Notamacropus eugenii: one gene and its partners. The protein of the gene in region 2 binds, or shares a complex with, the protein of the main gene of each other region. Links are inferred from orthologs where the notes say so. Each region holds a gene or a part of one and is shown on either strand. Other genes may lie near its edges. The genes, in order: TAF3, TAF4 and TAF6.

Region 1 (10,564 bases), on a different chromosome or scaffold from region 2:
AAATATTATCTCATTTTATTTCATTTGACTTCAGAAAACCAATGATGAAGTTTGCCTCTCTCCTCTTAGCTGAGAGGTGATGAATTAGAGATGAACATGTCCAAACATGACCAATGTGCTGATGAATTTTGCTTGATTATCTTAATTTGTTATAAGCTTATGAACACTTGAACTTGGAAATGGAAAAATAACTGGCTCTGAACTCAAAGGACCAGGATTCATATCCCAGCTCATGCTGACTGCCTGTATGATCTCATGCAAATCGCTTAACCACCCTGAGCCTCAGTTTCCTCTTTCATAAAATGGGAGATTCAGACTAGGTATCATCTGAAGTCTTTTCCATCTTTATAGTTATGATTCAATAATCAGTCTATGATGAAGATGTAAAAAAATTTTAAAAATCAATAAAACACTCAAAAATAAACAGGAAGAAAAAGTTCATAACAGTACCAATTGCAAAATTTCGTTGCGACCTCATTAAATTTAATATATTTTTTAAAAAACCACATAACAGAAGCTTAGTTTTATATAGAATCCTCTTTTTGTTCTTTTATATTGAAACATTTGTTTCTATCTATGATTAGATTCATAATAAAAAAGAAAAATTTTTTAAATGACATAAAAAGTCTCAGTGAAGGAATATACCACAGGCTCAGTTTGATATAAAAGACTGCCAAGTATGATGGAGAGTAAGGGTCAAAGGTTACTGCTTAACAAAAATGAAATGAGTACTTAAATACTTAACAAAAAATGAGCAATTTGTCAAATTTAATTGAACTAGGAGATCCACATGAATACATGCATGCATAAATATGTATATATCTAGGTAAACCACATATACATGATAGATACGTGTGTCTATACATAAGTAATAACCTTTCTGAGTCTCAATTTCCTCATCTGTAAAATGTGAGAACTTCACCACACAGTCTCTGAGGTCCTTACCTAACCTGCCCTTTCACTAACCTCATGCCTTTCACTCTCTGGTCCAGGCAGGGGAGTTGGAATGCTCCTTACTTCCCAGTGCCACTACCATGTTCTTCCTCTACCATCCATTATTCAATAACCTTTCCTCCTTTGAGCATGACCAATCTACATTTATCACCCTGTAGCTGTTATCTACCAACCTCCACTGCATTCTCTTCTTCTCTACAATTTCAGTGCCTGGCTCACAATCTTTCTCACCTCCCCAATTCTTGCCCTTATACAAAGGGACTTCAACATACATACTGATACTTCCTCAAATACCTAAACCTACCAGAGTTCCTCAACTCACTCATTTCCCATGACCTACTCCCTCCACCACACCCCTCAATTACACACAGATGGTTATACCCTTGATGTTACCATTACCCACAAGTATTCTTCTTACACATTCCCCATCTGATCAGTCTATTGTTATTCTTCTTGTCCTGTGGCCTTAAAACCCCAAACTCCATTCTTCATCCTTACCATGGCATCCAATCCTTCAACCCTTTAGTTATTTACCAGGCCACCACTGCTGCACTAGCAACACTCAGGAGAGTTCCCTTCCCAATGATGAGTCCTTGGTGAACCAGTTCAACTCTATTCGAAAGTCTCTAAAGTCCCTTATCCTCTTGTCACCATCAATCTTGCGCTGCTAACCCTCAGCCTAGATTACTCCTACCATCCACTGTCTTTGTTCCTATTCACATGCTGCACAATGAAGCCACACAAAAAATCACGAAACCATGCTGACTGGGTCCACTACAGATCTGTTACATAATCTCAATTGGGCCCTGACTCTGGCAAAGAAATCCATTCATACCTCCCTAAACCATTCATTATCCCACAGCACTTTTTCCAAACCTTTATATCCTTCTTAAAACTTCCCAAGGCTCCCCCAGTCCCACCCTCTCCAGAGAACTTTGCCTCACATTTCACTGAAAAAACTGAGGCCCTTTACTAAGTGCTCCCTCTTCTCCCCTCTTCCTCATCTCACATCATTCACATGCTTTTCTGACAAAATTTACTCCTTTTCATTGACTCACATGAAGAGGCAGTCCTCCCTGCCAAGGCAAACCTCTCTATATCCACAGGTGATCCCCCTGCATCCTTTCTTCTCCTGCGGAGTATCCTCTCTATCATACCTATATTCTCACTAATCTTCAGTCTCTCCTTGTCTACTGACTACATCCCTACTAACAATAAATAAGCCCATACCTCCCCTAACCTCAAAAAACCCTCACTGGAGCCGTCGATCCCCACTAGCTAATGTCCCATATCTCTCTTCCGTTTTGAGGTTAAACTCCTTGAAAAGGTCATCTACAATAGTTGCTTCCATTTCCTTTCTCCCCACTCTCTTCTCACCTTTCTAAAAGTCTGGCTCAAGTCTGTTTTCCAACATCATAATTCAACTGAATCCGCTCTCTCCAAAGTTAGCAATCATTTCTTAATTAGCAAATCTAAAGGTCTTCTCTTAATCCTCATTCTTCTTGAAGGCTCTACAGTCGCTGACATTGTCTATCACAGTCTTCTTGACATTTTCTTACCTCTAGGTTTTCATGACAATCATCTGTCCTGATTCTCCTCCAACCTTTCTGAGCTTCTTAGTCTCCTTTTGCTACATCTATGACCAGTTCACACCTGCCAACTCTGTGTCCCCCCACCCCAATACTCTGTCTTGATCCCTCTTTTTTTCTTTCTACACAATTCAGTTTGATGATCTCATCCATCCCCATGGATTCAAGAATCATCTCTGATCAGATCAACTTATTCAGTCTTAAGTTCTTTCCAAACTTTAACTCTCCAATCTCTAAAGTGTCCAGCTGTCTTAATGGATATATCAAAGTGGATATCTTGTATACATATTAAACATAATATGTCCAAAACTGAACTCATTATTTTCTTCTCCCCCAAGAGCTACTCTCTTCTTAACTTCCCTGTTGTTGCCAAGGACACACACAGACACAGACACACACACAGATGCAGACACGCAGACACACACACACACACACACACACACACACACACACACACACTGCTGCAATACACTACTGGTCAATCTCTTTGCTTCAGGTTTTTCTCTACTCCAATCCATGCTTAACTCAGCTGTCAAATTGATCTTCCTTTTAAAAACACAGCTCTGATCACATTATCCCTTCTCCTATTCAATAAACTCTAAAGGCTCCCTACTGCCTTCAGGTTGAAATAATAAAAAACTGTTTGTCTTACATAACCTGACTCCTTCTACCTTTCTAACACCATCTTTGATTCTGTGACACTGGCCTCCTGGCTCTGCCCTGGATACTACTCATCTCTCAATTCCAAACATTTTCACTGGCTGCCCCCTCCCACCCCCCAAGGCCTGCAACTTCTCCCTCTTTATCTCACTGGTTTCTTTCAAGTCTCTTTCCCAGTCTTAGGGCCTTTCCTCAGAAGTTACCCCCAATTTATCCTGTATATAATTTGTTTGTATATACTTCTTTTCACGTTGTCTCTCTCGTTAGACTGTGAGTTTCTGAGAGCAGGGATGATCTAATGTACTTGGCATAGCAGTCATCTTATATAAATCCAAGCTGACTAACTAAAGTACCTGAGTACCTGGCCACCGTAATGACTTAGTAATTGCTAGTTGACTGACGAAAGTAACATCAAAAGTTATAGTAGTGAGTTGTCAGGAGTTTAAGGTGCCACAAAAAGCTATTTCTCAGTATTTTTTCAGGCTAATTTTGACAGCAAAAGGCCCCGTAGCACGTATTTAATAACAATTGTTAACTTATGCCAGAAACAAAAGACTAGAGTTAGATATGAACTTAATGACAACACTTGAAGAATGAGCTGCACCATACTTTGGAGGCCCCTGATAAACTTACCTTGATCTACACCCTAAGAACCACCAGAAGAAAGGAAGGTAAAAAAACCCTCCTCGTTGGATGAAGATAAACACGTCAGACAGAGGCTAAGGCATGGAGGGAGAGGGGCAAGCTCCACAGACCTAGCGTGCACGCAGCAACGTGTCCGTGAAAGGAGGAGAAAAGGGAAGGAAGTGGCAGTGCTGGTCAAGACCCTGCCCAACAGCCCGTCCGCAGACGGGGCGCCGGGGACAAGCGCCGGTCCGGGGGCAAAGGGCTCGCCCGAGGGGCGGCCTTGGAAGGGTCGGGGCGCCGAGGAAGGTCAGGAAAGAACACTAAGGGGCGCATCTGCGGCGGGCAGCGGGCGGTCGGGACGTCCGGGGGATGCCGGCGGAAAGTCGGCAAGCTAAGAGGGATGCCCCCTCCCCTGAGCCGAAGAAATGTTCCGGGGGAACAGGCCGGGAAGAGCGCGGGGGATGAGATTCAGGGGTCGGAGGTCAGCCCGGGAGAAGAGCGGAGTCGTGGGCAGAGGGCAAGGGTCAGCGGCCACCCTCCCGCCCCGGCCCCTCGACTCACACAGCTCCGAGTAGCGGTGGCAGCCCCGGCCCAGCTGCTGCAGGTACCGCTGTAGGACGTCCGTGAGGAGGTGGCAGGCGCTGAGCTGCACCGAGTCCCAGCCCAGCGCCTGGCAGATCTGCGCCACCGACACCCGCAGCAGCGACCGCGAGTAGCTCTCGCACATCCCGCTCCACGGACTCCCGCGCCGCCTCCGTCCTCGCCCGCCGCCCTCCTCCCCGTCGTGCTTCCGGCTTCAGCGGGCCTCCTGGGCCATCGTCCGGGACTCCCCTCCACAGCCACCACGCAGGGGAAACCGTTTCCCGGACTCCCGGCGTCTAGTTCAGAGCCTCCGCTCCGCCGGGCGCGCCAGCCTGAGAGCAGCCATTTTGGATTCGCCCCGCCTCCGTTTGGGGGCGGTCTCTCCGACGAGGCAGCACTAAACTGTTGCCGAAAGCATCGATAAGTAGCAGTTCCCACCCCGCCCTCGGCCCCATGGATGATTCCGGCGGTCGCCCTGGTCCCATGGCCTGCCGGGGCGGACACTCACATGGACTTGGAGCTTCGCGATTCGTCCGGCTCTTCCCTCCGCGCTGCCGCCCTGCTGGGGGCCACAATAAAGTCTCTCCTGGCCATTTTCTAACCTCGGATCCCCACCCACGCTTTCTGTTGGGGCAAATGCAGGGGAGGGGAGGGAAGGGACTTTGCGCTCGGCCAGAGAACCCACGTAAGGACGCGGCTGCCCGGGAGGTCCGAGGCTGCCTCCGAGGCTCGGGTCCGAGCATCCCTCCCAGCAGTTACGGGACGGAGATGGTGGTGTGCGCCCTCGGCGTGTCAGATAAGCGTGTGTTTATGAAGCTGCTGTTCGGGGCAGTTAGTTTTCTCCAGTTAGCAAACATCTCACGCGCACACGTGCCCTCCAACCTTCCCGGTCTTCGTTACACCATAGCCTCCAGTAACGCAGGTCTCCCGGCTCCATCTCCAGGGTCTGAGCGTTGTTTTTCCGGCTGTCGCCCGTGCCTGGAAAGCTCTTTTCCCTTCCTCCTCTCTGCCAGCTGGCTTCTGGCTTTTAGGTCCCCTTGCCGCAGGAATCCTTCCCCAGCTCCTCCTAATTCCAGCGCCTGCCCTCTTTCAGTGACAGGCATGCCTCGCGTTATGGAGCTTTGCTTCATTGAACTTCGCTGGGTACTACGTTTTTGACAAAGTGAAGGTCTATGACAACCTTTCCTCTCTCAGCACCAGGGTTTTCAACAGCGCCCGCTCCTATGTATTATCTGTGTGTTACATTTTGGTAACTTCATTACTGTTATTATGATACCTGTTAGGGTGATCTGCGATCAGTAATCTTTGGTGTTACTCTTGTAATTGTTTGGATACACCACGAATACTGGATGGATAAATGTTGCCTGTGCTCTGACCGCCCTCTCTCTCTTTTCTGGGGCCTCCATTCCCGGAGATACTACAGTACTGAAGAATATTACATAAACGTAGCTGATAAAGCAGCTGAGGATTGGCTACAATTTTGAAAGAAGTTCTACTGTGGATAAAATGCTATCAAACAAGCATCATGTGCTATCGAGAAACCGTTGGGGAAAGAATCAACTGGTGTAGCCAACTTCATCATTGTCTTATTTTAAGAAATTGCCACCCCAGTCTTCAACAACCACCACTCGGATCAGTCAGCATCCATCTACAGGAAAAAGATTAAGACTCACTGAAGGCTCAAGTGATGGTTAGGATTTTGCAGCAATGAAGTATTTTTAATTAAGGTGTGTACATTTTTTACACATAATACTATTGCACAATTAATAGACTACAGTAAAGTGTAAACATGACTTTTTATTGTGATGGTCTGGTACCAAACCGTCAATATCTCTCAGAGATATGCCTGTATTTCCTATTTATCCTGTATATAGCCCCTTACATACATGTTTTACATGTTATCTTCCCCCATTAGATTGTAAACTTCTTGAAGGGAGTCTCTGCTTGGTGCCCCAAGACAAATTTCCAAGACCATACATTACAAATGAGTTATGGATCTACATTAAGGTGATGAAATCACCAATCTGAACAATTCCATACTCAACTCACAATCACTCAGTCCTACAAGCATTTATTTTAGCACTTACTTTGTGACTGGTCATTTAGTTCAGTGCTGGGAATTTAAATATAAGCAAAAATAAAGACCCTCTTCTCAAAGAGTTAACATTCTAATGGAGGTAGGGTAGGCTACACATAAAACCAAGCTGAAAACTTGAAAAAAATGTGGAAGGGGAGCCAAATTGAGCCAGGCTTGGGCAGCCTCCTTCCACAGAGATTCTGGGAAGAGCCAAGCAATCTGAAGGTGAGGCCCACAGGGACTGAGGACACTTAGGAGGTGTAAATTCCAGGGCTGAAATGAAGAAGGGTTTGCAGCCACTTTAGAAATGGAGGTGTAAAAACATCCCTCTTTCATTAAGACTGGCAAATTTTCAGGATGTTAGGGGCAAGTAACAAAGACAGATTTAAGGGTCCATTCAGATTGCATTTACACCTAGTAAAAGATGAGCTCCTTCCAGCTGGGAGTGAATCATTTTGTACCTTATAAGTATGTAAAGCTTGGAGTTAGGTTTAGGCATATCTAGTAAAACCAGTGAGGCTTTGAGTAGATAATTTGCATATGAAAAGGTCAGTAAAGCAGATGAGCAAGACCATAGGACTGCCAGTTTCTTTTTCTTATCTACTCATTTGCATGGACCAATAAGAGAGATATAGAGGTTTAAAAAACTGAGGACCCCTGAACCTCAGAGTTCCTTGGTGATTATTGGACAAATGGACATTGTCTGTTTATGCCCTGGCTTTTAGAGATGAAGATTTGGAAAATATACTGAATCTATCTGCTGCCTTTGACACTGTTGACCCCCCCTCTCCTGACGGTTCCCTCCTCTGGATTTTCGAAGCACTGCTCTTTTTGTTTCCCCCCTTCTCACTAGCCTTTGCTGGTTCATTATCTGCCCTCAGCCATCTTCTCTATATTCTCTCTATATAATCAGTCATTATCATCTCTGCAGATGACTCACAGATCTATACTGTATATCTAGTCCTGGTCTTTCCCCTGAACTTGAGTCCTGCATCATTAATTGCCCATGAGACATTTCAAACCAGATATCCCAGAGACATCTTAAACTCAACATGCAAACCTAGACTCATTATCTTTCCTAAAAAACCTCCACCCTTCTTTCAAATTTCCTAATTTCTGTAAAAATTACGACCATCCTTCCAGTCTCACACATTTGAAATCTTGAAATTATCCTGGATTCCTATCATTTCCTTGCCCTACATATCCAATTCATTGCCAGATCTACTGTTGATTAATCCAATCCCTTCTCTTCATTCACACAAGAACTTTAATTCTGGCCTTCATCACTTCTCCAAGATTATTGCAAAAGCTTCCTAATGTGTCTCCCTGCCTCAAGTGTCTTACCACTCCTGTACATCCTACAAACCGCTGCCAAAGTAATTTTCCTAAGTGCATATCTGACCATGTCATTCCCTTATTCAGTCAAGTGATCAATCAGTGACTTCTTATTGCCTATAGGATAAAATGTAAACTCTTCTCTTTAGCTTTTAAAGACTTTATACCTCCTAGTCCCAGCCTGTCTTTATGATCTCACTGGACATTGCTGCCCTTACTATACAGTTTGATTCAGCCAAAGTCGGCTTCTTTCTCTTACAAATGACACTCCATCTCCCATCTGGGATTATTTACACTGGATACATACAGCATGCCTGGAATTTCACTTCTTCCCCTTCACCTCCTAGAATGCTTCTCATCCTTTTCAATGTAGCTCAAGTACCATCTTCTGATTGAAGCCTTTCCTGATTACCCCAACTGTGAGTACCCTTCCTTATAAACTATCTTATGTAGGAATATGTGTGCTGCCCATGTAGGTTATATGTATTCCACATGGATTTTTTTAAACGCTCCTTGCAGGGAGCTGTGAAGACCTATCTCTGGACTCTCAACCACCTCTCTTCAAAGGAAACTTTGATTCTTATCTGGAGGAGAGCAGAAAATTGGTGGCACGTTCATGACTCACTCTGCTCTTCTCAGAGAGGGGATTGAAGTAGACTTATCTAACTGCCTTCCTAAATATTACTTTTGTTGTTCAGTTGTGTCTAATTCTTCATGACCCCATTTGAGATTTTTCTTGACAAAGTGGTTTGCGATGTCCTTCTCCAGATCATTTTACAAATAGTGAAACTGGTACAAACAGGGTTAAGTGACTTGCCCAGGGCCAGTAAGTGTCTGAGACCAGATTCAAACTCAGGGACATGAGTCTTCCTAACTCAAGGTCCAGCATTCTGTATACTGTGCCACCTAGCTACCTCAAATATTGTTAGTCTAGAGGAAATGATTGTTCAAGTAACTCTTCTAATAGATATCCCTTAATGGGAAAGGAATGCTCCAAACTATGTCTAAAAGCTTGACTCCCTTTCCACCAAATGATAAACAGTGGCCATCATGATAGTATGTGGCAAATAGAACCCATTTGTCAAAGCCAATAGCAAACAGAAATCAGAGAAGTCATATAGGTTAGAATATCCTGGACAATATGCAGATTATATATCCTTTCCCACTGAGAGTGGTATCTGCACTGAGAGAGAGTCCCCAATCTCATCCAAGAGGAAACTCTCCAAAGGCTGTAGCATAGGAAACTGGGAATCTAGGGCATATGGAGGCACCAGCTTTTCTACACGTTGCCTTCTTCCCAAAGTCTTTCCCTTCAAGGTCCTCTCCCAGAAAAGAGCCTGGACTAGACAACCTTTAAGATCCCTAGCTATGCAGAGGCAGCTGGGTAGTGCAATGGATAGAGTGCTGGGCCTGAAATCAGAAAGAATTGAGTTTAAATCCAGTCTCAGACACTAGCTGTATTACCCTGGGCAAGTCACTTTGCCTCTATCTGTTTCCTCACTTGTAATATGGGGATAATAATAATGGAACCTACCTCCCACAGGTGTTGTGAGGGCCAAATGAGACAATATTTGTAAGGTGATTAGCACAGTGCCTGGCTAATAGATGCTTGTTTCCTGTTTCCTTCCTTTAAGGTCTAAACTTGTCATTTTAAATCATCCCTTCTTTAGGAAGTTATTTATGCTCACTTTCACAAACTGAGAAGCCAAGAGATCTGAGGAAGAGTTTGATAAGAGCAAAGTCACAGTGCTTCAGCTATTAAGCTTCCTTTGCTAAGACATTAATTATAAAACACAGTGACTTATGAGAGATCTGATGAATGATGCTTTCACAAGCACCTAATTATAAATTTATCATCTATAATAACAATGTTCAAATTCTTCAATCCACAGACCATATAAGGCAGTTTAGTTGAAGGGTTTGGAGTGAAGACATCTGGATTTGCTTCCCAGTGTGGTATAGTTAAAACAGACTTGGATTTGCAATCAGAAGACTTACTACTTTCTTATGTGAGAAAATCATCCCACCCTTTTAATACTCAGTTTACTCATCTGTAAGGTGGGAAGACTGGATTAGATTATCTCTATGGCATATTCTAGCTTTGGCATTCTAACTAGGGCAAATCTTCCATGTGAGATCACACACTTTGACCCTCATTTTGTGCCGCAGAAGAGAGAAGAGGAAGCAGTGTAGAGGCTGGGGAAAGGGAAAGAAGAAGGAATAAAATTAATAGAACCTCTGTCAGTATAAATTCTTTCAATTGAAATTTTCTTTTTAAAACTTTTACATAAAAATCTTTTGTTTTTCTATCACTTTCATGTCCAAATATAACCTTCACTCCCCTCTCCCCAGGTAGTCATTCTCTGTAATAAAGAGTTTGAAATGAAAGAGGAAAACAAGCAGTTCAGCAAAATAAATCAACAAGCATTTATTAAGTACCAGCTGTAACTTCTTTCCCATCCTCTAGCTTCACATTTCCAACTAACCTTTAGACATCTTAAACTCAATATGTCCAAAACTGAATTCATGGTCTTACCTTACAAACCTCCTTTTCCTGACTTCCTTTTACGTCAAAGATACTACCACCATTCTCCCAGTTACCTAAACTTGGGACCCATTTCCACCTTTGTAATATCTCTTGGATGCCCCCTTTTCTCCCCTAACACCACCACCATCCTAATTAAAGTCCCCCTGCTTCAAGTTTCTCCCCACCACAATCCATCCTCCATTGAGCTCTCAA
Region 2 (10,191 bases):
ACACTTTAGATTTCAGAAGAACAGATTTTAAGGCATTCAGAAGAAGGTAAGATCTTTTGGGCTACAATTCTTCAGGGAAAATTAGTCTAGGAGAGAAGGAAGATCTCAAGACACAAAGACAAATAAATATTTGGAGGGGTAAAAGGGGCATTGCACAAAGTCATCAACCTCATCCTTTCTTCTAGTTATTGAAATTCCAGTTGAAAAAAGTCAAGATGACTTGGTTGTGGCCCAGAATGAAGTGGATGACCTTGGTATCTTTAATGTCTGACTGAACTCTAAGTTGATATCCAAGATAGTTAAGGAGAGAGTAAGAGTGCTTGTACTTGCTTTTGAGTTCATATCAACTGACCCAGATGAGATATAATCTTTAGCTACTAAAAGATGTGACTGATACGATTGCCAAGTCAATGTCAATAATATTTGATAGATTGAAAATGGGAGATATGTTGTAAGACAGAATGGCAAATGTTATCCCAATTTTTACGAAACAAAGTTTGTGATTGATTTGATTTCTATTTGTAAGGTATATTGAGGCCAAGATCTAGTCTGTTAGGTAGAGAAGTATCTTAAAAAGTTGACTAGTCTTCTGAATAAGGCACTAATGGCCTCATATTAGGTTGTTTAGGAAACTGCCCTAACTTGACCTGTTATTTCACAATGTAAAGTCATTCTCATGTAATATTTCATTTATCACAAATTTGGTTTATTAGTTTTGTCTCCCTAAGGAACTTATTTACTACAGGAAAATCTCCAAATATAGCTGCCTTTTTTCCTAAAAAAATTCTCATCTTTCCCTACTTTATCTAATGGGGTGTTCAGGGAGAATGAGCACCTCTGGCATGAGGGCCTGCAAAGCCTTTTCCAGGGCTGCTCATCTACCTTTGGTGTCCACGTGACTTACCCAACTCTCACCTGTGACTCCAAGAAGCCATAGGGTGACCAGCAGTCATACCTGTCCCTACACAAGGGCTAAACCAGATTGAGGATAACTGACAGGCCTCAAACCTGATGAGTTAGGGGGATGTCTATTCCAAGCATGTGAAGACTTTCCCTCCTGGAATGTATGGATAAAAACAATTTGTTCCAATGACCATGAAGGTTGCTTATTTACTGTTATCCTGCCTGGACCATCACCAGTCATCTTGACTTTTGTCTTGCCACTGGACTAATATGACTCAGGAAGAGAGAGTGAGGTTGATGACTTTGTGCAACTCTGCCTCATTTAAATCCAATTCCTGCACAAGTCATGACCCACGATGTCATTGATCCTCTTCAAAAATGAAGCACAAACAATTGCTTAGTGATGTCAAATGTTTATAGCTGTTCATGGATATTGGTAAAGGTCCTTTATATTTTCTTTTGTTTTATCTGATTTTTTTCCTTATTAAATTTAGGAATATGATTTAAGTTCCAGAAAAGATATTGTCTTGGGTGGATAACTGAATCTTTCTTATGCAAACCAATTTATTTTTAAAAAATAATTTTCTGCATCACATATCTATTTAGATACATTTGATGTGTATGCACACACAATTTAGATTTGTATTCTTGTTCATCTTACTGATTTAGACTTGAGGAGACCACATTGCCAAAGAAAAGTAGACTGAGGCAATTTCCAAGCCATAGGAACTTGGTCTACTAGTGTTTCTTGAAAAAAGAAAGTACCAAGTCCCATTAACAAGTTCATTTTACAATAATTCCACATCCTTGATTATTGTAAATACAAAGAAACAACTTTCCCACCTTCCACCCTCCCCAAGAGCACCTCTTATGGGGCCTACCTAGCAGGGAGGTGCTTAAAATATATTGAAGTTGATTTAGATAATTTGCTTTTAGTGCAAACTTATGAGTCCAATGTTCTTTTCCTTGTATGTGAATGATTTTGTTTTTTGCCTGATAACATATTCAAATGTATAATATCATAGTTGATGATGCCACATTTGGAACCTGGCAAAGAAAGCTTGACAACAACACCATTAGGACGAAGTGCTATATAAAGGTTCATTGGATCAATTTTATTAACTGAAAAATAAGGGAAAGGGCAAAGATTTACTCAAGTTGCGTTTTGTCAGGTAGAAGAAAACTATTAGATATAATTAGTATGCATATCAGGGCTGTATCTTGGCATGATCATAGTACTGAGCATTCCTGGTATTGAAAGGTTAAAGCACTTAAAGATATTTTAAATTTAGCACTCCAGGGCTCAGGAGAAATCCTTTCAAAAATCCTCCAAAACCTTTGGGTTAGTGACTCTCCTTGACCATATAGGTCCTTCTAAAACCCATTTCCAATTCCCACCAATAACCTTTCAATTTAATTTACCTGTATTTATTTAAACACAGTGCTGTGCACCAGTAAGGCACTGGAAGAGATAAAATTTAAGTAGGAAATGTATGCCTCAATGGAGCCTGTAGTTCTGTAGAAGTGCAAGAACCAAACAAAAATCTCCATAATACACCATATTACACAAGTGCATTAATGAAATGCAAAGTAAAAAGTCATGTAGTTTACAAGGGTTGCTACAATCCTCCATGGAGGTGTTGATATTTTAGTTGGAATTTAAAGGATAGACAAGTAATTCCAATAAAAGCAGGGCCTCCCAGACTTTCCCCAGGCATAAATAAGGAAAGGCAGGAAGACTAGCACAAGTCTTCATAAATTTTAGAGAAACCCATTTTACTTTGGAAATGCATGCATAAATACATACTTGGTAGATGAGACAAAATAAATCAAGAACAACGATAAGAGGGTAGGGAATTTATCTAGAATCTCTATGAACCCTTGGATAGAGATGTCTGATACTTCAAGTGTCCGCATTCAGGGTAGCAATCAATGTAAGACCCAAACAGTTACTAATTCCACACAACAGCTCAAGCAATGAAACCACTCACTCTAGAATATAAAGTATTTGTGTTTGGTTTTTTTTTGGGGGGGGGATTACCACATTTTAAACAAAGGAAATAACATTTTTACCAACTTTTCTCCACCCCCAACAAAGCACTAAAACACTTATAATTCTAGTTCTAAGAAACTCTATTACAGTAACACTGAGCAAGGAACAGCAAATGCACAGCTAACTCTTTAGAGCTACCACCATTCATTTAAAAACTAAGGTTCCTCCACAGGAAGAGTGTAGCCACTATTTGACCTTCCATATTTAGACAAAAAGAAACTACCACCCACACAGCTTGCCTGCCCACAGCCCCTCTTTAGCCCCAGAAGCAGGACACATTCCTCCCATTGTAGTTTAATGAAACTAGAGGTTACCATGTAATCACCATTGTTTCCTTCTACGCTACTTTGTCATCCTAAGATGGAAGATCTCATGCTTTTGGAGTTCGTCAGGATTCCGACTTTTTTTTAGAGGAGTAATCAAGGTGATTATTTAAGGTTATATTATTCACTTAGAGATGACTTTTCCACCTCGTTTCTCCCCTGCATTTCCGGTTGCTAGTCGCATCTCCACCAAGAGGTAAGGGAATAAAGTACAACTCATTCTATTAAGCAGCTTGTTCACAGGTCTGTGGTGGAGGGAGATGACAGGCCAAGGTTAAAAAGGTTTTCTTTCTCCATCATGGGTCTCCATTAATACACAGGAGGGTGAGGCGGTATGTAAATAAGTGACATAATCTAGGTGGCAGGCTCCTTACTCTACTCAGTAATTACCTGCGTTTTTAAAGTGAGGAAATCACCCTGAATTATCCCTTCCGCATGAGGATGCGCAGGAGGCACACATGCGGGACGACGCTCGTAAACCTGTGTTTACAGTTTTCCTGCGTGCCGAGATAAGTAAAAAAGGACTGAAAACCAACCTACAGTAACCCCCTGGGGATCGGGGAGTCAGGCTTTATGATCCTTTCAGATGTCACTTCCGATCAAGTTAACCCGAAGACAGTTCAAGTTTGGCCTGCTCCCCCGTCAGGTACATTCATTTCCCTTCGCTGCCTTCTCAGAGCCTCTTTCCGCATCCTTCCCGCCCCGAGGATGCGCCACTGTGGGACCCCCGGCTGGCCGGGAACATCTCCCCTCACCCCCACCCCACTTCCTCTGGAACGCGGGAGGAAAGGCATTGTCGCCTGTGCCAAGTCTAGTCTTCTCCCCGACGCAGCCAAGCCTCCCAGGGCCGCCCAGGCTCTGCTGCGATGCCTCGGTGCCCCCCCCCCCCATCTCTCCCTCCTTCCTTCAACCTGCTCCAGGCTTAGGCTCCTCCTCAGCCCGGCGCGGGGGAGCCCCACACAAACAAGCCGGGAGGCGGTGCAGCCGGGATGACTCTTCCGAAAAGGACTCCCCCCGCCTCCCCCCAAATCTCTCCACCTCTTGAGGGTGTTTCCCCTTCCGAGGAAGGGAAAGGGGTGTGTGTGTTTGGGGGGCGGGCGAGGAGGAGCGGGGTGGGGGGGTGGTTTGCAGACTCCGTGGGGGTCAGTGACGAGAAGGGGGTGGGGAGTTGTCGGCAGCGCCGAGGGGGGCGAGGACACCCGTGAGTGGAAGGGAGAGAGTGAGAGACACCCCCTTCTTGCCTCCACGCCAGCAGCCCCGAGGTCCCGAGCAGGCGGCGGCGTCCCCCCCAAAACAACCCAACAACTGCCTCCTTTTCCGACTCGAGTGACGAGGCCGAGGCGCAGCCCACAGCCTCCCCCGCCCCACTTTCTTCTCTCCTCCCCCAGACGCTTCTTCCCACAGCGCAGCCCTGTTTATTCAGGAGGGCGTCCGACGGCGACCCGAGCAGGGGCTCCGGGGGTGGCGGCGACAAGAGGCGAGGGAAGCTGCGCCGAGCGCGCGGGGTGAAATGGCGGTTGGCTTCGGGGTGTGCGGCCTCAACCGCCGTTCTCCTCGTCCCCCATCCCCCCCATCCCCGTCCCCGCTCCCCCGCCTTCCTTCCCTCCCTCCTCCTTGAGCTCGGGCTGGGCGGGGGTGTCTCAGTTACACGCAGCTGGCAAGCGGCGGCGACGGCACAGGTGCGGGGCGGTGGCGCCCTTCACCCCTCGCTCGCTCCAGCCACACTCAACCCGCAGCCATTTTGGAGCAAGCAAAGACAAAGAGTGAACCACCGCCTGTCGCCGCCGCCGCCCCACACCAACTCCTCCACCCCGCCCCATCTCGTCTTCCTCCCCCGCCCGGTCCGGCTGCGGCGCTCCGCTCCAACCCCTCCGCAGCCAAGCCCCGGGGCCGCCTTCACCGCTCCCCGGGCATCGAGCTACCGCCGCCGCCGCCAGCGGCAAAGGCTCCGCATCCGCCCCTCCCCCCAGCCACCACCATAGCCGAGGTCGTCGCCGCCTCCCTCCCCACCCACCCTCCACACTCTTTCCCCTCCCCCCGCCCTTCGGTCTCCCGACTGCTTCCCCTCTCCACTCTTCAATAACGCTCGCAGCCATTTGCCGTCGCTTTTAAGCGCGCCGGGCAGCCAATCAGGACGGGCTGGAATCCCGGGGCCGCGGTGACGCGCCGCCGTGGCGCGCTTGCGCGGCGGGCGCGGAGGAACCTCCCCGCCTCCCTCCTCCCTGGCGGCCCTCCTCCCCTCCCCGTCCCCGGCTCCCCTCCCCCTCCCCCCTCCCTTCCCCACACAGCCCTCCTCCTCACCCAGTCGCTATTAGCCAAAGCGGCGGAGTAAAAAAAGATGGCGGCGGGTTCGGATCTGCTGGATGAGGTTTTCTTCAACAGCGAGGTGGACGAGAAAGTGGTGAGCGACATGGTGGGCTCTCTGGAGTCCCAGCTGGCGGCCAGCACGGCCCATCACCACCATCACCCTCACAGGACGCCCGAGATCCGGGCCGGAGGCGCCGGGGGGCTGGGGAACCATGTTGTGAGCGGCAGCCCTGGAGGAGCCGGAGTAGTAGGAGCCGCCGCCGCCGCCGCCGCCGGTGCTAATGTCCAGACGGAGAGCAGCAAAATGGGACTGGCCCAGGAGATCACAAAAGCAGGTAGAGCGGCGGCGGCGGGGGGCGGCGGGGGCGGCGGGTCCGGGCCGGGGGAGAGGGAGCCGAGAGGGAGCGAGAGAGGGGAGCCAGGGCCGATCCCCCTCAGCCCTGCCGACCCCCCTCCCCAGAGGGGGGCCTGACACCCTCCCGGGGGCACCCGGCGTGAAGGGGCTACCCGGGCCCGGGGGAGCCCCGGACCCTCCGTGGGCGGGTGCATGGGGGATAAGGAGGCAGAGGGGCAAGGGATGGGGGGTCCAAGACCCCTCCCTGGCTACAGCGAGGGGACCCTGGTGGGGTAGAGGGAAGGGAGAGGGGACCCCCCTTCCCCAGGGTGGTCCAGCCATCCCAGGGGGCGGACGGGGATGGGGTCTGGAGGAGCTGACATCCCGAGCACAAGGTTCTGACACCTCAGGTGTGGGGGGTATCAGTAACTGGGGGACAGGGAGAGCGCTCAGTTCCGAAGGGGGACCCCTCCAGAACTGATGTTTTGCTCCCTCGATTTTTCTCACTCGCCAATTTGTGTCTCCCGTTAATATCTTAGCACGTCTTGGCTGAAGTAATGCCCCCCAGACCTCCTCCCCCTCCCCCGCTCTCTCTTTTTTATTTTATTCTCTCCTTGTTGTTGTTGTTGTTGCAGGGGCCGGAGGAGTGCAAGGGGGTGTTATTAATCACAACACGACCCGGTCCCAGGGTTCAGCTCTGCTGGATGGAACCTCCTCGTCCACCTCCACCAGCAGCAGCAGCACCAGCACCAGCAGCTCCACAGCAGGCTCCGAAGCTGCTGCTGCTGCTCCAGGGGCTGCTGCCATCAGTCAGGGCAAATCGGTGGTCATCAGCAGCACCATGGCAACCGCCTTGTCCTCCAGAAACGGCAAGATCGGTACCACCGCCACGGTGCAAACTTTGAATGGGAGTAACGTCGTGATGAACTCTCACCATTCAGGAAGTGCTGTTGCCTTTGCTGGGACTCCGACTGCTGCTGCTGCTGCTGCACCTGCTGTCACCCTCGTCAACAACGGACCAGGATCTGTGGTGTTGCCGCTGGGGAAGGGAAATGCTGTCAATGCTGTTTTGCCTTCAGCTTCTTCTAACACTGTCATCCAGACTTCTTCTTTCCTCAGCACTGCTGTGTCCTCCTCTTCCTCACCCACCGTTATCTCCTCCTCCAGCATTGGAAGTGCGGGACCTACCGTGGCACTAGTGAGGCCACCAATTCACACAGCAGGACCTGCTGCGGCTTCTGTGGCTGCAGCCACCCAGAATGGGAGCAATACTGTGATCAATTCAACTATCAGTGTGGGGAGTTTGCCTGCTACTGCTGCTGCTTCTGTAGCTACTGTGGGTTCTGGAGTTTCCCTTCAGGCATCCCTTGTGAACAGCCAACCTGGCTCCAACATGCCAGCCACAGCCACCACACAGGTCATCAAATCAGAGTCCCCTAAAACTATAGTGCAGGCAGTGCCTCAGCAGCAAACGTTGACAACCAGTGGCCAGTCCACCGCAGGGGGTAACATGATCATTGGGCAAACTATGCAAGGTGGCATCCCCAATCCTAGTGGGATACCACCTCCTCCTCCAGCTCCTGGGACCCCTACAGGGATGGCTAAAGGCACTGCCAACACAGTGGCACAAAGTCTGCCAAGGACTCCAACAGCTACTACAGGTGGTATCCGAGCAACATTGACTCCTACAGTTTTAGCACCCCGTCTGCCTCAGCCACCTCAGAATCCTACAAATATTCAAAATTTTCAGCTACCCCCAGGTAAGAAAAGCATTGAAGTATTTATTGTGGTGAAAGGCAAATGATCCAGATACTTTAGTTATAAGTCATAGGAAGTTCTTGTTCTCATTTAAAATGGTAAGGCCATTTACCTTTTTTGCCAGTTTTATGAGAAGTGTGTTATGCTGGTTCTTGTGACTGGGACATGCTAAGTAGACCTGCTTTACAGACTTTTGTACTGCTTAAATCTTTGTATTTGCATTTTAAGTCTGTGTTCAGATCTTCCCACCCATAACATCATGGTGTTCTGCTGATGCATATTCCTATTTAATCTTCTTCATTGCATCTTTGACTTTTGCTTAACCTCTGCCCCTGTACGCCCCTGCTGCCAGAGGAAGCAGGCTACTTGCTCTACAGCAGCAGGTATGTCACAGGAGAAAAATTACTTCGCTATGCGAATGTACATTAAAACAATCTTGGATTTCAATTTTTTTTAAAAAATTAGAGTTCTAGATGTAGCCTTGCCCATTAGTAGTTTCTGCAGTCAGGTATGATGAGTCTTTACCTCACCACATATAATTTTTGTGTTTGTCATCAATTGTTAGAGGAGTTCCTCAGATAGGGGAGTATGTGGACCTGGTTTCCAAAGGTGACAGAAAGATAGAATGACACACTACACTCCCTGTTTTTAGGGCTGCTTGATTAAGTCTTTGAAAGCTTTTACTCTTTTCAGGGTATACTTTAAAAAAGTATTTAGATATCAGAATGATATTACAGTTTTTAAGTGAACTGAGTCTAAACTGACTCATAAAAATGAGTCTACAAGGATCACATCATTCAGGGTTAACATTCTAATCCTAAATTGTACTTTAAGTATTTTTTCAATATTCTCAATGTTCTTAATATTTTTCAGTGCATTATTGTTACTGCACAAAAAACACCTAATTAAATTTTACTATTACTGCCTAATGAAATCAATGGTTTGTATATGTCATTCATTTTAGTGGGTCTTAGGGTAGTAAAAGTAATATATTATGAAACTACTATCTAGGACATCTATAGAATGATGTTTTTATTTCAGAAATGCTTTAATATTTGTAGTAGTTTTATGAGTGTCTTTCTGTCAGTCAGTTATGCAATATTATTTTATGGTTCTTAAAGTCAGACAGAAAAACACTGTGAATTGTATATAACATTCTGACATTTTTTCAGAATCCTTAGGCATACAAAAGACCTCACCTGAAATATTTCCTGGTTTTGATTTTGCCTAGAGGTAGTATTTTTAATCTAATATGGTTATTTTATGAGTTAAAAACATTTTCCCTTAAATCTAATCCCTTAGTATGTAGTAATTGTATGTGTAGTAGTAGTAGTAAAATCAGTCATGAAAACTTGGTACTTCACATGTCCCATAGTATTTTCTAAAAATAATGAGTGGCTGCTTCAAAACAATTTCTGTATCAATGAACTGAAAGGTTTCCCTGTGTAATCATTTTGAGGTTAAGAACCAGTGATTTGTAAAACTTCAGACAGGGGTCTTTTTTTATTGGTGAAATCCTGGGGGTAGTTCCAAAGCCACTTAAAAAAAAAAAACAACAAAGTTTTTCTTCTTTCTTTGAACTTAGCTTTGGCATAATAAAAAACCCCAAAGAAAGGGTATTGACATTTTGTGCTGGTGATTACAATAGACATCTGGGGGTATTCCAGAGTAATTAGCCTTAGTTTTTCTCCCTAATTATCTAATAGCAAGTATATTTTTGTTTAATTTTAATCTGTGGAACATAACATAGTTTGTAAAGTTTGCCATAACCTTTTATGTATACCCATTTTCCTAAAAGATTGCCATACAAAAGACCTGCCTGTTTAAGTACTTTTCCCATATCAGTAAGGTCCATCCCTATGGTTTGTAGTTTAGTGCTTTAATTAAAATTGTTATTGTCATTCTTTGAGCAAGAAGGTGCTTCAGATGACTGTAAGATATCTCACTAGTCTTAAAGTGGTTTAATTGAGGTCCTCTTATTAAGAAACTCCTAGTTACTGTATCAGTCAGAATAGTTTTCTTCTCAATATGTCACATTCCTCAAGTGAGATTTCTTTTAAAGGAAAAACTAATATAGGTTATACTTAGAAATACCACTGATTATAGGCCATGTTCTGTTTTTATCTAATCTAAGTTTTTTGGGGAAAAGTAGCCCTATCTTCTGACAATATGGTATACTAGTTTTTAATTGATATTATTAAGCAGTTAAATCAACACCTTGGAAATATGGAACTAATTGGATCACTTTTAGTGAGAACTTCCTCTTTCATTCCTATGAGTGTATTGCTGTTGGATAGGGAAAAGTGATTAGAGGAGGGCTTGCCCTTTTGTTATTCTTTTACTAATGGTTTTGAGCGAGATGTTTATGATTCAGTTTCATTTGTAAACCAGATCTCTCTGGTGCAGATTTGACAGCCAGATAACACTATTTGTTAAATTCTGGGAAAAAGTGAATTTTTTTATTCGTGTGGTTTTTGCAGTATTCCTAATTTTTTTGCACCAGAGAAAAGCCT
Region 3 (10,717 bases), on a different chromosome or scaffold from region 2:
GGGGAGTGTTAATGATGTCACTCAGATCAACCTCTTTCTCTTCATAGAAATAAAGTTCCCGGCCCCCACCTGAGGCAAACCGGAATGGGATGAATTCCTGGGCATGGAACCCATACAGAGGCTGAGGTAGAGAAGCAGATCAAAAAGAGAGACTTAGGATGAGACAGGGAAGGAGGGAAAACTGTAAAATTAAAGTAGTGGAGCTTTTTTGCCCCAAGTAACTTATTTTCCCATGTAACCTGGTTTCTCTACCACCACCTCCACCTCCCACACCCAACTCCTCGACCTGTGTACCTCAACATTCTTCAACTTCAGGGCATAGTCTATATCACTTGTTGTGAGCTTCTGTCGCTTCCCCATATGCATAAATTTCAGGGCATCCTATAGAAAGGAGAAAACCAGGGTCAGAGAAGAGAAGACAGCCAATTCAATGCAATATTTGGGAGTGGAAAATTTAAGGGTTCCAAATCATCAAGATTTGAGACTCAAGTTCAGTGTGTTAGGAAGGAAAAAACAAACAAAAACACACTTGGCTTCTGAGAAACCAAGGCTCACCTGTGCAATCTCCTTAATACGGTAGCTAACTTCATCTGTTAATAGCTGGCAGGTCTCTTCAGGCATTTGAGCAATGCCCATGGACTCTGCCACAACTTTCATTGACTCCGAGGGCAACACAGTGTTGCTTAACTTGAGTTTCTTTTCTTCTGCCATAGTGAAATATGGCACCACTCCCAATCTCCTCTCTAGAGGCAGTGTTCTACAAAAGAGATGGAGAAATTTAAATTGAGATTGGGGGAGGGGAGGAGGTGCAGAGACAAAGAGATAACCTTAGAATGGTGGGAAGAGACCCAAAGAATAAAGAGGAGAGAGACTGGTGATATGGCCTCAAGGTTGCAGGTTTTCCATCCCTGATTACAACTATATAAACTTACTAGCTAATCCATTAAGTTTCTCATCAGTATGGAGAGAGGTTGAACCTCTGAAGTGGTTTCCCCTTCTTAAGGCAATAGGACTTGTTCTTATACAAGATAAATAACCTGAGAGATAATAACCTGGTACCAGCCTAAGTCAGATGTGACCACCTACACACCAATAAATATTTACTGACTCCATAATCCATAACAAATCTCTCTCACCCTAACCTCCTAGTCTCACCTCCACCTTCAGTCGTCCATCCTTGCCTGGTCATCCTCATTCTCCTCCTTTTAAAACTAGACTACAGTGTTAAAAGTACTCCTATCAACCTTTGAATCAGTGCCCCCCACTGTTCTATTGCTGCTCAACTATTTCCAACATAATCTCTCAAGGAACTTACATTCCAATGAATCTATCCTACCTCCAAGTCCATGTTTGGATTAGGTCCTCCATATACTTAGGCTGAATAATTTTAACTGAGACATTATTGTACCACAGGGGGCAGCTAGGTGATGCAGTGGCTAGAGCACCAGTACAGGAGTCAGGAGGACCTGAGTTCAAATCTCACCTCAGACATTTGACACTCACTAGCTGTGTGACCTTGGGCAAGTCACTCAACCCCAACTGCCTCATCCTGGGTCATCTCCAGTCATCCTGATGAATAACTGGTCACTGGATTCAGATGGCTCTGGAGGAGGAAGTGAGGCTGGTGACCTGCACAGCCCTCCCGGACTCAAAACAAAGTCATGTCATTCAGGTCCTCCTGACTCCTGTACTGGTGCTCTATCCAGTGAACCACCTAGCTGCCCCTTGTGGTACAATAATGACCCAGTTAAAATTATTCAACCTAAGTACATGGAGGACCTGGTCCAAATCATTGGAAAGTCATGTCATCATTACACACACACACACACACACACACACACACACACACACACACACACACCCCAATCTTTTCAGTAGTCCCAGTATTTCACTTAAAAAATTAAATAAAAATTTAAATTAAAAAATTTTTAAAAGGAGGCTCTTCATCCTGAGCTTCTACCTAATAACCTTGATATCATCCCAAACACTCCTTTTCATATTTTGATATTTCTTTCCCTGGCACCGAGCACAGTACCTGGCATAGTTTCTTGCTGCTGTTTAGTCAATTTGCCCACATCCAAGTCTTCATGACCCCATTTGGGGTTTTCTTATATTTATGGAGGGTGGTGGGAGGCAATCAGGATGAGGTGATTAGGCCGGGCTCACAGTTACTAAGTGTGAAGTTTCTGAGGCCAGATGTGAACTTGGGTCCTTCTGACACCAGGGCTGGTTCTCTATCTACTGCACCACCTAGCTGCCCTTCGTTTGGGGTCTTCTTGACAAAGTTACTGGAGTGGTTTGCCATTTTTCTTTCCACCTCATTTTACAGATGAGGATGAGGCAGAAGAGGCAAACAGAGTTAAAGTGACTTGCCCAGAGGCAACATTTGAACTCAGATCCTCCTGACTCCAGGGCTGGCACTCAATACACTGTGCTAACCTATTTGCCCTTAACTGGCAGAGTAGGTGCTTAATAAATGCTTATAGAATTTAAATGAATTTACAAATAAGTTATTTTGTCTTCCCAGAGAAACTGTTTTTCCCCAATACATCTCCAATTATTTATGACACTCTGTCTTCTGAACCCCCACTCCCAAGAGTCCCCTACGAGTCAGCAACTTTTAGGAGTCCCCAACTCATAAAAATTTTAATATTTCCAACAGGTCCCTGCAACACATACAGCATTCCAAATGCAGTAGTCTGAACTGACCCTCCTTCACTTGGACAGGCAAATGAGTTTCTTAAAAAGGAAATCAAATCATTCCAAAAGAACCCCACCCAGGCTTTTAAGAAGGTGTTAACTTTTTAAGGTGGATTACTCAGGGTTCCTAGGCTGTCAGGAAAATCTTATTCCTATTTACCTGTAGTCCAATAAAGGATCTGTAGACAAGTTGTCCAGACTCATGCCTCAATAAGGCAAACATCCAGATCTGCTCTGTTCAAAAGTATCATTTTAAAAATTAACATGAATGTACTTCTACAATGTGCTCTACGTAGGCCAGAGGTGTCAAACATACCACTTTAAAATTAAATCAATATTTGGCCCACAGGGATACTTATATACAATTTAATCAACTGTTTCTATTTGAGTTTGACACTACTGCTCTAGGCAAATCAATATTCCAAGCAACCTGCATACTATTATGTTTCTGCTTTCACATTCTTAATGGATAGAGTAAGACAACAGATATCATTAGCACTAAACTTCTGTGTGGCTAAATTCTCATCTACAAATTGGGTCAGTTTCTTTGAAAGGAAACATAACAGAAAAATGATTGTACAATTACAACCTAAAACAAAAGAATATGATCTTTTTTCTCTTGCAATATTAGGGCATCCAAGAAAGATAGTCTCAGAATGTACAAGGGATCCAAATATAACCTGGACAAAGCCTCAATGAATAGCCCCTCCTTCAGGAGCTACCTTATCCCCAACTTGCACTTTAAGGTTGGTTCCTTGGAGGGATGACTGGCTATGTTGAGTCCAAAGAGTACACTACTCTGTGGCCTGGCACCCCAAGCTCACAACCCTAAACCCTAGCCCAGAAACTCTCACCAGTGGGCTTACAATTAGGTGAAAGCAAAGACATTTACTAAGCTGACATTGTAAAACCAAGTAGCTACAAAACACTTCCTACACACACAGGAAAACGCAGGTGAAAAGGTGGAAGGAAGAATTTATTAAGCTCCTACTACGCGTCAGGCATTGTGATTTACAAACGGTATCTTATTTGATTCTCCTATCCCTACTTCACAGCACAAGAAACAGACAAAAAGAGGTGACACAGGTAGTGTCTGAGCCTGTATTTGAACCACGATACCTCGTGGGAAAAGTGAGCAGAAACTGAGAGTCCACACAACTCATCCTTCAGCACAGCTGAGCACTTAGGTCCTTCCACCACTCTACCCACCGATGGGCTTGGCAGCTGCCCGGGAAAGGCAGCTCCACTCCTACCTTGAGTTTGCTCCTGACTGGGAACAGGAAGCTCCTCAATGAGCAGCTATTGTTTCTAGCACTGAATTTAGCTGAACACAGCTAAACAAGGCTAAGGTCTGCACTCTTTCAGAGAGTCCCTACCCTAGGACTCTCAGCTTTCCCAGGGGTGCTCTTTTGGGGCCTCTGCTGTGAGACCTACTGCCTCCCAGACTGGAGAACGGGGAGCAGGATCATTTCAACAAACCCAAAGCCTAAGGTTTAGCCTTTTCTTTCAACAACTCTTCCTATAAAAGGGCTGAGTCCCCTTAGCCAGACTTAACACCCACTTTAGGTGAATATCCCATATATTTCCCAAATGTTCAAACAATAACCATTTTTGCCCCATAATTAACCAACACCCCTACAGCTCAGGATTCCCTAGTTTTTAAAGTACATACTTTAAATCTCTTGGTGGTCTATAGCAAATAAGACAGGAAAAGGTACAAACGCAAGCTATGCCCCGGCTACTAGTTTCACACCTTTAGGGAGGGCAAATGAGCACACTCACTTGCATGCTCTGTCCGCAACACAAAACGGTCCGTCCAAATCCACTTTCTTTTTTGGAGCGCTATATGGTTATAATGACCACATCTAATCCCAAATTAGAAATGAGAAAATTCACCTCCCTCACTTTCTCACAAAGGTCATGAGTGGAAAAGAAGAAATTTAGAAATTCTACCTGAATGAGACACACTCTTCCATCGGATCTCTGGCTATTACCAAGACTTCCCCTGTGAATTTACTGCGTGTGGAACTCTCTCTGCCATCGATACTCTTATAAAGTTACCTAGGGCACTGGCCCAGGATCACAGCCAGCATTCTTCGTGGGCAGGACTTGAATACAGGTCTTCCTGCTTCCCGCCAGTTCTCTATCCACGGCGCCAGGATACAATTTTGCCAAAATTTTATTTTCCTCGTACCTGCCACAAGGGATGCCCGCTCCAACTCGCCAATTCTCCAAAAGGATCGCTCTCCCTCTCCACAACTCCTATAGAAAATTTAAAAATACCCCGGCTCCCCCTTCCCGCGCAGGCGCAGAAAGTCCCGGTAGTCAGCAGACTATCCTACGGGGAGCCTCCAGTAAGCTCTGGGGACGCTTTCCTCCCCTTATACCCACTTGCCGCTCACCTATCGAGCCCCTGAAGACATGCCTCCCGACGTCCGGCTCCCCCACCCGTGCTGTCTCCGGTTCCTCACCGGCTCCCAACAGCAGCTCGTGTGGCGCGAGCCACCATCTCAAACCTCTGCCTCTTCGGCGGGTCCTAGCAGTACCTTAGACTTCCTCACAGGTCCTGGCAGAGCCAGGTCAAAGACCCTTCAGCCCGCCGCCTCAACCCGGAAAAATCTTCCTCTGCCAACAGCTTCCACAAAAGGGTCTCTTCCACATTCCCATGGACAAAAGGAATATACTCCGCTCTCTGCCTTAGCCGCTTCCCCACTTCTTTTCGTCCTGCTTCGCCACATCTAGGACCTGGACGGTGACAAACAGTGCTGGCGCTTGCGCGGCGCCTGCGCAGTAGGTGAACCTAAGGGGGGGGGGGGGGAAGCGGAGGGGGGAGGAGTCCAAGCGCGTTCGCTCTGAGTCTGCGCGGTCCTTCACCCTCAGCTTGGTAAAGCGCGTACTCGCGACATGCCAGGCTGGATTTAAAGGGCCAGTTTACTTGCAACCTGGCTTTTTAAAAAATCGTTCCTTTGTCGTCGCTGTCCGAGGTTGGTGCTCGGTAGCTGAACATGGAACAGGGGTGGCAGCGACGACAGCTGCTGCTGTTTTGCTTCCTCCTGCTTGTATTGAAGAGCTGTTGTGGGAAGCCAAAGGAAAAAGAAGAGGAGGAGGAGGAGGAGCACCTACCCAGCAAATGCGAAGGTACCCTGGGCATCCACCGAGGATGCGCCCTGTGCTCCCGGGCCAGCTCGGATGGGCTCTGAGACAGGGAGGGGCACGACGTTTGTAGAGGGAAAAGCGGGGGCGGGATGGAGACTGATCCTCGCTGTGTGGCCCCTGGCAAAGCGCTTCTCCTCTCTGAGCTTGTTTACCCATCCGCAAAATGGGCACGGTCCGCATGCCGCCTATGGAGCCGCGTGGCTGGTATTCCCCTTCCCGTCACTGCCGGACTCTGGGAATTAGGGGGATTGGACCTGGGGGGGAATGTAGGCTCCGTCACTTGCTGACCAGAGCCCCTTAGGGTTCCCTTGCGCCCTCCTCTCCTTACCTGTAAAATGGTGATGGTAAAGGTCGTATTACCTTGTCCGGGCTGTTGTGAGGCTAAGTAGACATAAAGGACTTGGTCAACTAAAGCTCTAAATAAATACTGACACTGCTTTGTTGTTCAGTCGTGACCCTATTTAGGGTTTTCTTGACAAAGATACTGGAGTGGTTTGCCATTTTCTTCTCCACCTCATTTTACAGATGAGAAAACTGAGGCAAACAGGGTTGAATGACTTCCCCAGGGTCGCACAGCCTGGCGCAAGTGGTCCCTGTGGTCCTTAGGTTCATGAACAGGGAAATTCGCCACTCCAGCCTCCAGCTTCCACCGAAACCCAGTTCTAGTGTCTTATTGGAGCAGTGATGGATTTTTGAAGGCTATGCAGGTGGAATTTAAAATGTAGGAAGCTCTACCAAACCAGAAAGGCTTCAAGTTGTTGTATTTGCCTTTTCTTCTCAGAGGGAGATGATGACATGACTTGCAGTTGACTTTGATTTGAGTGAGGGAGGGCTGTGCAAGGTCAGCAGCCTCACTTTGTCCTCCAGAGCCATCTGTCCATCCAGAGGACTGGAGGTGGCCCAGGATGCAATGAGAGACACTGGCCTTTTTAGGCTAAAGTCTTTTCAGATTCTCAAAAAACAAAAGAAAACCAAACTGGGAGGGGAAGACCCTTGGGATTCCTGGCCAAAAGAGAAACAGTTTCTATTTACTATTTACATTCACTTTGAGCTAGGAGGAGGGGGACTTGTTGTCCAAAGGCTTCAATCACATCCAGGAAAGAACTCTTAGCCTTTCATCAAAGGACCAGCCCAGATAAATTGGGAGAAGTTTATTACCAGGTTGGCCCAGTAATGATTTTTTACAACCCAGCAACTCATAAAGATCAACTACTGAGGTACAAAGGGGTTGTGTTCTGCTTTGATAAAGGGAGTATTTCCCACCTGGACAAAATCACAGTTTTTTCAAATGTAAAACTCTGGTGCCTCTGAGCCCATGCCTTAAAACTGATATAAACTGTAATTCAGGCCTACCAAGCTGAAAGTGGGGTTTAAAGAATCATATTAGAGCTGGAAAGGACCTTAGAAATCTTTTAATTCGCATGGCAGCAGTTGTGAACACCCTGCCCTGTCCCACCCCAGCTTGGAAGCTTCCAAATTAAAGGAGCCTTGGAAGGAGAAGGTGATTCAGCCACTCCTTGATGCCCATAAACTAGCAAGGAAGAACAAAGGTAGTTGTCATGTTGCCTAACTGGGGAATGTTTGGGAAGGATACTCCCAAACAGTTTTGGACTGTGCAGAAGTTGTGAGCACTAAGGACTTCATCCCGTACTGATTTGCCTGTGGCTACACAGCTAGCATCTTTTTCCCTGATGAACTCAGTGTTACTGATGTAATACATTGTTTCAGAAGATCTCATTTCATAAGTGTGGCCCTTCACTTTATGCAAAAGGCAACCCACTCCCCCCAACACACCCCTTTAATCAGTGGTCTTCATAAGAAGTTATGGGGGGGAGGGGGAATACTTCTCCTGATAGTCAACATTATGGCCTCTTCTCACTTAGGCTAGTTCTTGGATAACAAACTTATATCATCTGTTACCAAGGCTGTACTTTACCAGCATGGTCTTCAAGAGCCCAGAACCACCATGAAGCTTCAGAGTAGGATGCTAAAGGTATTACTGATATTAATAATAATAAGTAGCATTTATATGGTGTTACTATTTACAAAGTGCTTTACAAATATCTCATTTTATCCTTACAACAGATTTGGGAGGTGATATTTTACAAATTAGGAAACTGAGACAGACAGAGGCTAAGTGACTTGGATGAGGTCACACAGCCAGTAAGTATCTGACACTGAATTTGAACTTGAATCTGTCTTGATTCCATGTCCTATGTTCTCCTCACTATACTAGCCAGTCACTCAAATAGTATAAGTGGAGTGAAAACAGTATAGTAAAACCAATATTTCTTTTGCCTATATCACAGGATCAAACGAGATCATATTTGTGAAGCACTTAGCACAGTGTCTGGCACCTAATAGGCAGTATGTAAATGTTTATTCCCTTCCCTTTATAACATGCATTCCAGGGATAGGGAATAACTGAATCAGTAAAAGCTTGAAAGTACATGTTGTCTATCTTCCATTTTATTACCCTCTCCCCAGACCTGGAATATATTCCCTCCTCACCGTTGCCTCTTGAGGCATTCTGGCTCAGAGCCACTCTCTTTACAACATTCCCTTATCCCCCAGGTGCTAGCGCCCACCCCCATCTAGTTGTTTATTTTACTGTATGTATTTATTCTTCTGCATACCTTTGTAGGCTCCTTGGGGACAGAAACTATTTTGCTTTTTATCTTTGTATTTCCAGCACCTAGCACAGTACCTGGTAGGCTTTTAATAATGCTAAATAGTGATGGTCAGAGTCCTGTAGTTGTACCCAGGATGGATTGAAGAGAGAAGAGAGAAGAGACATTAAAGCCAATAACGAAGGTATTGCAATAGTCCAAGTGGGTGAGAATGAGACTTTGTGGCATCAGTAAGAATAAAATAGATGGACTGGATTCGAGAGATATCCCAGAGGTAGGAGTTAAAGGACCTGGTGACTGATTGGATGGGAAAAGAGGAAGTTATGAACATAGATGGCCAGGTGAATGGTGGTGCCGTGGATGGAAATGGTGATGTCAGAAGAAAGAGCAGAGTTGAGGAGAAAGATAATCAGTCTTTGTGAAGCATATCTTATGTGGAGTTATAGGTAAGGATTTACCTATAATTTGGGGATGGGCTAAGAAGAGGATAAGAAGAAAGGTCTCAGGTATCAGTATATGGTAATACTTCTAGGTACCCTAGGATAGGGTGAATGCCAATCGATGTCTAATAACTGACTCCCCTGCTCTTCCTTATCCTTCCCACCTTTTAGTTTATACAAACCATCTTCAGGGACTGATACATTTTTTGAATTGGAATGGACCTTAGTGAACTTCTTTCCAACTCTCTGTTTCACTAGGAAGCGTAGGCCCAGGCAAGTAAAATGATTGGCTCAAGGTCACATGACTAATTACTAATATTAATAATCATAACTGATATTTTGTAGAACACTTTAAATTTTGAAGTGGATACTGCAGATAGTATTAGCCCTAGTTTACAGAGGAGGAAACTGAGACTGAGTGGATGCCCAGCCACATAATTAGTATGTGAGATGGAATTTGAACCTATATTTTCCTTACTACCAGCACGTTGTCTATCACACCAGGCTGCCCAGAACTAAAACCTGAGTGTCTTGCCCCCAAGTGCACTGGGCTATGTATCTTGTTTTAACATACTTCTGGCAATTGTTTTCTCCTCGATAGTCTGTAAGATACTGAGCTTGGAGCTTCAGGAGGAGCTGAATCGGAGCAGTCGGTCTCGGGAGTTGCTAGAACTAGGGCAGGTGCTAGACACTGGCAAGAGGAAGAGACAAGTTCCCTACAGCACTTCGTGAGTCTCCCTTGACTTTCTTTCTGTCATGGTACCTCTAATGCTTCATCCCTTCCATAACCCTATAAATCATTCCCTAACTTCCTTCAGCCCCACAGTTCTCAATGAGTTATCTGTTCTTTCTCATTGTCTCCCATCTCTTTCTCCCACAGAGAGATTCGGCTGGAAGAGGCCCTTGAGAACTTATGTGAACAGATTCTGGATTACAGTGTCCATGCTGAGCGCAAGGGCTCCCTAAGATATGCCAAGGTAAAATAAATCTTCTCCCCCCTGTTTGCCTTTTAATGGAACAAACCACCATGGTGGTCCCTCTGCTCAGAGGTATTTCTTTGTTCTTACTCCTCCTAGAATCCTTTGTCAAGACCTCTGCCCCTGGGATGTCCCATGCCCTCTCCATTCTGTCTCAGCCCTTGTTCTGCTGTGGGTACTCCATTTCCACCCTCAGGTTCAATGAAAAGATCTTAGTGTAGTGGGGATGAGGAGGGAAGAGGTCAGAGAAATAGAGACAAAGGGGGCTGACCCTGCCAGAGTTCTCTTTCCTCCCTCTTACATCTCCCCTCACCCCAGGGTCAGAGTGAGACCATGGCAACCCTGAAAGGCCTGGTACAGAAGGGTGTGAAGGTGGATCTGGGAATCCCTTTGGAGCTGTGGGATGAACCCAGTGTGGAAGTTGCATTCCTCAAGAAGCAGGTAAGAAGATGTCATATGCCAGAAAGATGAGATGAGCTGGGACAGAGAGTAAGGTATGGACTCAAGGAACACAATAAGACAGTAAATGCAGATCATGGGGACAGCCAGGGACTGGGGCATAGACAGGCTGGACCCGTATCCTAGAAGAGGGTGTTGGGGGAAGGAAGAGGGTAGGCAGAGGAAATTAGAGGGAATGAATTTGAATTTCTGAGAATTCTTCACCTAGGAGAAGAAATTGTGTCTGCCATCTTCCTTCCTTCTCCTTTCCTATTCTTCCCTCCCTCTCAGTGTGAGCTGATGTTGGAGAGCTTTGAAGATGTCATTGAAGACTGGTACTTCCACCACCAGGAGTTGCCCCTGCAGAAGTTCCTCT

What was found.
Region 1: TAF4 (region 2) and TAF3 share a complex: the UniProt entries of both Homo sapiens proteins name them as parts of the TFIID basal transcription factor complex. The link is inferred for Notamacropus eugenii from reciprocal best matches to the Homo sapiens genes TAF4 and TAF3.
Region 3: TAF4 (region 2) and TAF6 share a complex: the UniProt entries of both Homo sapiens proteins name them as parts of the TFIID basal transcription factor complex. The link is inferred for Notamacropus eugenii from reciprocal best matches to the Homo sapiens genes TAF4 and TAF6.

What each region holds. Positions count from the first base shown.
Region 1 is NC_092874.1:175,816,370-175,826,933, forward strand, and holds the start of TAF3 (transcription initiation factor TFIID subunit 3), read right to left. Parts: upstream 4,558-10,564; coding exon 4,392-4,557; intron 1-4,391. UniProt on the Homo sapiens protein: The TFIID basal transcription factor complex plays a major role in the initiation of RNA polymerase II (Pol II)-dependent transcription.
Region 2 is NC_092872.1:501,251,456-501,261,646, forward strand, and holds the start of TAF4 (transcription initiation factor TFIID subunit 4), read left to right. Parts: upstream 1-5,489; 5' UTR 5,490-5,617; coding exon 5,618-5,921; intron 5,922-6,555; coding exon 6,556-7,680; intron 7,681-10,191. UniProt on the Homo sapiens protein: The TFIID basal transcription factor complex plays a major role in the initiation of RNA polymerase II (Pol II)-dependent transcription.
Region 3 is NC_092873.1:80,655,852-80,666,568, reverse strand, and holds the start of TAF6 (transcription initiation factor TFIID subunit 6), read right to left. Parts: upstream 4,953-10,717; 5' UTR 4,794-4,952; coding exon 4,762-4,793; exon of another isoform or gene 4,677-4,761; coding exon of another isoform or gene 4,654-4,676; intron 758-4,653; coding exon 556-757; intron 382-555; coding exon 295-381; intron 122-294; coding exon 1-121. Other genes in the region: CNPY4 (protein canopy homolog 4), read left to right, coding at 5,706-5,838, 9,528-9,654, 9,807-9,903, 10,222-10,344, 10,633-10,717. UniProt on the Homo sapiens protein: The TFIID basal transcription factor complex plays a major role in the initiation of RNA polymerase II (Pol II)-dependent transcription.